2 linked regions of the Arabidopsis thaliana genome follow. The protein of the gene in region 1 interacts with the protein of each later gene in a pairwise test. Each region holds a gene or a part of one and is shown on either strand. Other genes may lie near its edges.

What was found.
Region 2: the proteins of AT3G57710 (region 1) and AT4G14815 interact in a protein complementation assay, tested with the Arabidopsis thaliana proteins (one large-scale study listed by BioGRID).

What each region holds. Positions count from the first base shown.
Region 1 is NC_003074.8:21,383,924-21,389,461, reverse strand, and holds AT3G57710 (Protein kinase superfamily protein), read left to right. Parts: upstream 1-2,062; 5' UTR 2,063-2,173; coding exon 2,174-3,229; 3' UTR 3,230-3,522; coding exon of another isoform or gene 3,523-4,545; 3' UTR 4,546-4,786; downstream 4,787-5,538. Other genes in the region: AT3G57720 (Protein kinase superfamily protein), read right to left, coding at 617-1,696; AT3G57700 (Protein kinase superfamily protein), read right to left, coding at 3,523-4,545; AGP23 (arabinogalactan protein 23), read right to left, coding at 5,008-5,193.
Region 2 is NC_003075.7:8,503,271-8,506,516, forward strand, and holds AT4G14815 (Bifunctional inhibitor/lipid-transfer protein/seed storage 2S albumin superfamily protein), read left to right. Parts: upstream 1-1,772; 5' UTR 1,773-1,851; coding exon 1,852-2,164; intron 2,165-2,248; coding exon 2,249-2,275; intron 2,276-2,359; coding exon 2,360-2,490; 3' UTR 2,491-2,682; downstream 2,683-3,246. Other genes in the region: AT4G14810 (uncharacterized protein), read left to right, coding at 875-970, 1,075-1,239.

The sequences.
Region 1 (5,538 bases):
TTCGATCAATTACTTTATCGAGCTTCCCATTCTCGTATAAGCCTTTCACATAGCCAGTAATACCTCTGTATTCCCCATCAAATCCAGCAGAGACAAGAGCTGGTCTAGCAGTGAGAACAACCATCTAAAAGACTCCAAAGCTGTACACGTCTGTATATTCCGTCACAAACTTCGTGGATGGATCCAGGTACCCTACTGTTCCCATTACTCTTTCAGTTTCAATTCTTGTTTTTCCCTCAGGAAGAGAGATTGGAAAACGATAAATTGGTCAGCATTGCGGTCCAGTTCTTATCCAAGAAAATCCTCACTGGCTTAACATCTCTGTGTATGATGATCTTCGGAAACGCCATCTGAAGATAAGTCAATGCATTTGCAAACTCCACGGCAGTAAAGTTTCCTCCCCATTAACCTTAATAGCTCCTCGATGGTTCATAACTCCAAGTTCTGCATCTTGAAACACAAGAATCATAAAAGGAAACTCGAGACAACATCCTAATAGCTTGAGAAAGTTGCTGCGATTGCTCATGCGGTCACACAAGACAATGTCATTGTAAATCTCTTTCACTCCATAGTCTGGAACTTGGCTTTATAGTACAATACCAGAGAGGATCTGTAGCTATGATCTCCGAAATAATGTCTCAATCTGCTTGAGTTCTTTAGCTATTTGGATCATCTTTGGTCTGTTTTCATCTCTCAGCTCGCAGCATCTCAGCGCCAACACCACACACGCTTCCACATGCACTTTTTGAGCACTTGTAATGTCTTCCATCACCTTAGGATCTATTACTCCATCAAGCTGCCCATTCTCATGAAAGCCTTTCACGTAGCTAGCAATATGTTTGTAGTCCCCATCAGAGCTAGTGGATGCAAGTGCTGGTTTACCAGTGAGAATAACCATCAAGAAGACTCCAAAGCTGTACACGTCGGTATATTCCGTCACCATTTTCGTGGTATAATATACTGGATCAAGGTACCCGATTGTTCCCTGAACACATTCAACTTCTATTCTTGATTTTCCCTCAGGGAGGTTTATAGAGATAGAGAAATCAGACAACTTTGGGGTCCAATTCTCGTCCAAGAAAACATTCCTTGGCTTAATGTGTCTATGTATGAGGATCTTGGGGAATGCCATGTGAAGATAAGTCACAGCATTTGCAATCTCCTTTCCAATCTTCAACCTTAAACTCAAAGGCAATATAACTTCCTCCCCATTGACTATAACACCTCCTCTGTGATTCAAAACTCCATGTTCTGCATATTCAAACACAAGAACCGGAAGACTAAACTCAAGACAGAATCCTATAAGTTTAAGAAAGTTGTTGTGGTTGCTCATCCGAGCAGACAAGACAATTTCGTTGTAAACCTCTGCTACTCTGTATTGAGTAACTTTATACTCAGAGAATCTCTTGATCATGTAAGATCTATCTTCTATGATACCTTTGTACCATACATAAAACCCCTCTGCGGTTACAAAACAACTGGAACCGAAGTTACTTGTAGCTTTCAAGATCTGGTCAGAAGAAAAGTTACGTATAGGAATGGATTTACCGTTACAATCAGCAATAAGTTCTTTCAAGAAGATGCTTCCGTTGTCTAAGAACCACTTTTCTTCCTGAATGTCTTTTTCCTTTTCCTTCCTTTTCTCTAACGATCCAGATCTCAGACTCTGCTTCAACTTCTTCACCATCGATTTCATCAAACAAATACTGTTGTTTCAGTTTTCCTCTTTGAACAAGAAAGACTTAATATCTGAATGCATACAAGATGTTGAGTTACTACTCTTCCCGATTTGAAATTTGGAAACAAATTCCAACCATTGACGTGTTTTGATAGGGACTCCTCACATCCCATACAAACTGTTATCCATCAGCCTGTCGTAGAAAACTTTTTGGTTAGGCTTATTTTGTGTTCCCACCTTATTATCTTTTGGATGGGCTTATATTGTTTTCCCACCTTATGAGCTTTTAGTTGGGCTTTATTTTTCTATAGGCCCAGAAACTTGACCCAAGACTTTTTATTGCTTCTTCCTTTCTTATGACACACCGTTTTCAACCGAGAGTCGTTTGGGATCAGAAAAGAAATGGCTTTTGACACTTCAGAAGCTTTTAGGTAAGAAAGGTGTCCTCTTTATTCATCTCGCCAACAAAAGGTTGATACTTTGGTAAAGGAACTAATGAAGAAGCAGTATCTGAAATCTGGATCTGGGACAAGGAAGGAAAAGGACAAGGCGAAGAGGTGGTTCTTGGATAACGGAAGCATCTTCTTAAGAGAACTTGTAGCTGATTGTAACGGTAAATCCATTCCTATTCGCAGTTTTTCTCCTGAGCAGATATTGAAAGCCACCAACAATTTCGATTCTAGCTGTTTTGTCTCGCAAGATGTATACTATAAATGGTATAGAGGTGAAATTGAAGATAGATCTTACATGATCAAGAGATTCTCAGAGGATGAGATTACAGGAAAACGACATAGAGTTAAAGAGGTTTACAACGACATTGTCTTGTCTGCTCGGATGAGTAATCACAGTAACTTTCTTCAACTTTTAGGATGTTGTCTCGAGTTTCCTTTTCCGGTTCTTGTGTTTGAATTTGCAGAACATGGAGCTATGAATCAGCGAGGAGGTGTTATAGTTAATGGTGAAGAATCTTTATTGCCGTGGAGTGTACGGTTGAAGATTGGGAAAGAGATTGCTAATGCGGTGACTTATCTTCACACGGCATTCCCTAAGATCATCATACATAGAGATGTTAAACCGATGCATGTTTTCTTGGACAAGAATTGGACCGCAAAGTTGTCTGATTTATCCTTCTCAATATCTCTACCTGAGGGAAAATCGAGAATAGAAGCTGAATGGGTTCTAGGAACATTTGGGTACATCGATCCATTATATCATAAGACGTGTTTTGTGACTGAATATACAGATGTCTACAGCTTTGGAATCTGTTTGCTGGTTATTATTACTGGTAAACCGGCTATCATGACTATTTCTGATGGAGATCTCCAAGGTATTCTTAGCTTAGTGAGAGAGTTATGTGAGAATGGGAAGCTTGATGAAGTGATAGATCCGAGGTTGATGAAAGATATCACAAGTGGTCAAAGGTTGCAAGTGGAAGCATGTGTGGTGCTGGCTTTGAGATGCTGTAAGGAGAGAGATGAAGACAGACCAAAGATGATCCAAGTAGCTAAAGAACTCAAGCAGATTGAAGCATCATTGAAAAATTCTAGCTAGAGATCCGCAAGGAACTTTTTGGATATTGAGATATCTTCGCGGAGTAGGCATCACAAGAACATGACTGAAGATAGGAGCATCTTTGGTGCCCAAAAGAAGAGGTATCAGTTGCTTGGACTATATAAATCTAAGTAAACAATTCTTGCATTGTGTAGCAAGGAAACTCAGATTCTTACATACAACATATTTAATAAAAGCTCGATCAAAAACAAGATACAGTGATTGCAATTTTCACTACTAAGCCTGTATAATAGATAGACCTGTTTCAAGTCGCATTAGAAAAGGTTGCATGGTCATATATGTTTCTCTATCTTCTTAAGCTCTTTTGCAACGTCTATCATGCGAGGCACGTTCTCTCCTGGTCTGAATCTTACACATCTAAAAGCAAGCTCAATGAACGCTTCCATTTGCAGTCTTGAATGCTTGGGAATGTCATCACTCGTGCTGTCCAATATCGACGGGTCTATGAGTTCAGTCAACAAACCTCGCTCCAGAAACTTCCCAACATAGACAGGCAATACAGGAAGATAAACAGCGACTTCTGAATTGTATTCAGACTTTCCTGTCAAAATAATTAGCATGATGATCCCAAGACTATAGATGTCGACATTCTCGGTGACCAAACCTGTATTAAAGTAATCAGGCTCGATATAGCTTGATGTCCTGCAAACCATGTCATTTACGCCAGTTTCACCCTCTGGAAGCACTATACTGAGGCTGAAAGAAGAGAGCTTAGCGGACCAATTCTCGTCAAGGAAAATATTTGCAAGCTTTAAATCCCTATGGATTATAGTCCTGGGGAATTCAGTATGAAGATACGCTACAGCATCTGCAATCTCCTTGGCGATTCTCAACCTTACATTCCAAGGGAATGACCGGACGCCTTCTTTTCCACATCTTATACAGTTTAGAGCTCCATGTTCTGGATATTCACACACGAGAACCGGACGAGGAAACTCTAGACAACACCCCAAGAGCTTGAGAACATTCTTATGGCTACTCATCAAAGATGAAACAGCAATGTCACGGTAAAAGTTGTCAGCGTCGAAAACAGAACAGTCTTGGAATTTCTTGATCAGTACGGGTCTGTTTTCAATCATGCCTTTGTACCACACGAATCTGTCTTCAGAGATTACGTAGTTCCAGTCAAAGTGATTTGTAGCTTGTAGGATTTGGTCGGAAGAAAACGTACGGATGGGATTGTATATACCTCCTGAAGTTGCAATGAGTTCTTCCAACAGTAAGCTCCCATTCTTCTGGAGATTGATCTCCTCTTCTTTCTTCTGCTTCTTCTTCTTTCTGAACAGACGCAACATCTCTAAACTCAGAAAAGAATATTGTCTTGTGAGTTGTGAAGAAAGGGACACAAGAAAGAAAGAGAGTCGGAGACGCAAGAACAAATCAAGTCAACGAGGTCACTTCAAAAGTCAACAACTTCTCCTTTTTTTTGGTCTAAGTCAACAACTTATGAAACATAATGTGAATCATAAGATTTTTCACTTGATGACATTTTGTAATGACTAATTTACAAATATGTTGAATATTTTTTTATAATCATTATTATAAGCTATAATATTTGTCCAATAACCAGTTTTGAAAATCAAGGGACCATCCACATTTCAAAAACCAGTAGTCAAAAATTAAAATGAACATAATCAAGAAGAGAAAATTTATTCTTGAATTACTTTCTCTGTTTTATTAATAAACAAGTGAAATGGAAATAAATAGGAAATGAATAAGATCACATAATGAGTTGTTATTACATAATGAAAGATAGCTTAGTGCAAGTAGTAGCTGAAGAGGGAGACAAGGGAAGCTCCAACCAAAGAGCCAAGAGCTGGCAACGCAGCCGAGGCGGCGGATGCAGGTCCTGGTGCCGGAGCTCCGACTTCCTCAGCAGCCATGACGGCGGTCATGGAGGCAGCAGCGAAAAGCACACCGCAAGCAATCTTCTTCATCTCCATTGTTTGAGACCTGAAAGGCTTTTCTTTTCTTCTTTTTATTTAGTTTTTGTGCTTTTTAAAGTTCTTGCAGGTCTGAGGAATATGGATGGTGTTGATCGGGAATTTATATGTGTGGAACTAGTGTTATTTTTAGTAATATTTACTTTGATTTACCTAAAAATAACTAAGTTTAAGGAACATTAGGAGGGTAACAAAACTTATGATGGTCAATAATAACTAATTCGCCGTTAAATTTAACTACAATCACGGTGAAAAGAGTTGCAACATGTGGCTTAGATTTATTTTAGCATTTCTGTTTGTATTTTCTTGTTACATGAACATGAGTTTTTCATATCACCATCCGGT
Region 2 (3,246 bases), on another chromosome or scaffold:
TCGTAGCGATAACTGAGATTGTATGACGATGGTGGCGGGAAATAAACAGTTGTGGAGGTTTGATAACGAAGTTACTAATTTGCCCCTATATTGATATTTTCGGGTGATGCTGAGTTGGTAGTGACTGGCCACTAAGGTCCGTCCACGTGGGTGAAGATTAGTTTCGTTTGGGCTTTTAGATTGAATATCAAAGCCCACAGTTTATGTTTTTGACATTTTATAGTTTAGTTGACTTTGAAATTTTATACTTCTGTTTTTTAAAGAGGATAAATAAAAATCTAATGGTTACGGCGGTTGAGGCGAACAAAACCTTCAACAGATCATACCGCTTTTTATTTACCATTCATCAATTATAGTCCGCAGTAGTTCGGACCAAAAAAAAAGAAAAACCGCAGCAAACCGTTTTTATATACAAATAAATTTGGTACGCACCGATTTATTGTCCGCCCAAAAATAAAATGGATTAAACTGCAGAAAAATTAGACCTTTTTGTCCGCCGCATCCATTCAAAGTTTAAGTGGGAAAGTTAATTACTTATTTAGTTGATATTCGTTTGGACGAGGGCTCCCGAACACATCGTAAGCTAAATCGGTGCTGACGAATAACCAGCCCACAACAAATAGGAAATGTATGGAATAGTAATACTATGAATGACCCAATATAGAATACTGGTAATAATATCATCAAAAGAACGTTCTCATGTGCTTCCAAACATACTGAACTCAATATAAATTTAGAGAATCAATATAAATTTAGAGAACATAACAAACATAGACAATTAAAAAAAAGAAAAAACGAACAAACATAGACTTGTGAAACCGTTATAATTATCCATGGAACTGTTGATGCTTGTGAAACTGTAAAATCCACCAAAATGCCAGATATTCACGAAGAAACCTGCTCAACAGCTGCTAGAAAAAGGATAGTGATTGTGATTTATCCGTCCATAACGATCCATGGAGCTGTTGATGTTTGTGAAACGATAAAATCACAATTTCCTCGTAGCTGTTATGCAGATATCTTCGTGAAATATCTGATATCTTGAAGAATTTTTCTTGAAGGCTCTTTGCTTAGTTTGAATATTCGTTGACCGTGGACTCGGTGGTTCGAGTTAAGTTTCGTCAGAAGATGTTTTTTCTTGTCGTGGTTTTGTTTTTCGGTGGTCGTGAAGATCGTGAAGTGTTGGCTAATAATGGTTTACGTATGGTGGAGCATATCGGAATCTCAGTTTCTGAATAAGAACGCAAACTTTACCATATTTATATTGCAAAAGTTGGTCATGCTCTTTATCAAATAGAGAAGTTAGATCATGCAGATTAAGCCACATCCTGACATCCTTCTTTTTGTTTTTTTTTTTTATGCGACATATATCAGTTTCTATTTATTTACGAACTCCCAAAAAGACTCCAACACAAATTAAACCAATAAACTCAAACAACCATATTAAAATGAACAATTCACAAGTAAGTGTTTGGTGTTGCTTATAATTTTAATGGTTTCTACAAATTTATCTACGTATCTTATTTTTTTTCTTGTTTTTTTCATTGAAAAGGTCAGCAATCAAATTTCAATCAGGTGAAACTCAAAAACTTTATATAATCACAAAAAATAATTCAACAAACATATCCTTAAACCAAACGTAATCATATTCTTTCACAAACTTCACCATAAGGTGTTGCAAAAGTTGGTCATGCAAATTGAGCCACATCCTTATTTTCGTCTTTTTCTGCGGCCTCAACTTCTTATTTATTTACGTAACCACAAAAGAAAAGACTCCAACACAAACCATTAAGCGATCAAACAACTAAATTAAAAAAAAATCTTGAGAGATTCTTGGAACACAAGAAAAACATGAAACCTAGAATGTGTTTAATCTTGTTTATTGCTTTAATGAGAGTAATGTCGATTGTTTCTGCTCAGTCGAGTTGCACAAATGTTCTAATCAGCATGGCGCCGTGTCTCAGCTTCATCACTCAAAACACTTCTCTCCCGTCTCAACAATGTTGTAACCAGTTGGCTCATGTTGTCCGGTATTCTTCTGAGTGTTTGTGTCAGGTTCTCGATGGTGGAGGTTCTCAGCTTGGGATCAATGTTAATGAGACACAAGCTCTTGCTTTGCCTAAAGCTTGTCATGTTGAAACTCCTCCTGCTAGTCGCTGCCATAGTAAAATAAACTCACTTTCCATGCATTAGATTCATATTTTTGCTATCTTTTTTCTCTCACACATCAGAACTTTATTATTTTCAGGTGGTTCTTCGGTTAATTCACATTCAGGTAAAGGACTAACTTATAAATAGAACCTAATCTAATCATATCTATTTTGACATTATCCTTTTTTGACATTATCTCTATGAACAGAACATGGAAATGGATCAAAAACAGTCCCAAGAGAAAAGTCATCATCTGATGGTTCTATTAAGTTCTCATTCCCTCTTCTCGCCATCCTATTCACAGCTTCTTACATTACATTAATCTACGCAAAATACTGACTTATTTTACCAATAAAGCTTTTGGCCTCTTTGAAGAACATATTCATTTTTAGTCTCTATTAAATCGCGGTGTATTGTGCTGAAGTATTTTGTGCTCTAAATCCCTACTTTCTAGGTGATATTGGTTTGTAGTCCAAAGAGTGTGATTGTATATCTTTGATTTATGCAATAAACATTATTTTCTAGCTAGGACATATTTGAAATACATGATATATATATGTATTGTTATCACTAACATATGTCTAAACATCACTTAAAATTTAGAGGGAGTACTATTGTTATCACTAACACATGTATTGTAGAAGGAGTACGATTGCTATCACAAACACATGTATTGTTGCCATTTTAGTCACAGTTTCTAAATATGAGCTTTGTCTGTTACCCTAAATGTTATTGCTCAATGTTCACCATAAACTTTTGCGCAGAGTGTCGCGTCTCTATCCACTTTTTCTTTTGCCGGTAATTTTACGAAGGGAATTATCGCCTTTCTCAAAAATTTCTCTATTTTTAAGTTGCATACTTGTAAATCGTTTTGGTATTTCTCTTTTAATATTCCAGAACATATGTTGTGAAAGCTATAGACAAACATTTATATGCTGGCTGAAATCTGGAAGACAGTTTCTAGCAAGAGTCAAACAAATGTCTAGAGAAGTCAAAGCAACAATGATAATGGAAATTAACTAACACCTACTTTTCTTAATCAAACTAGTGATTCACTAATTTAAATGTGAGATTGACAGAAAAATTCTGCAAACT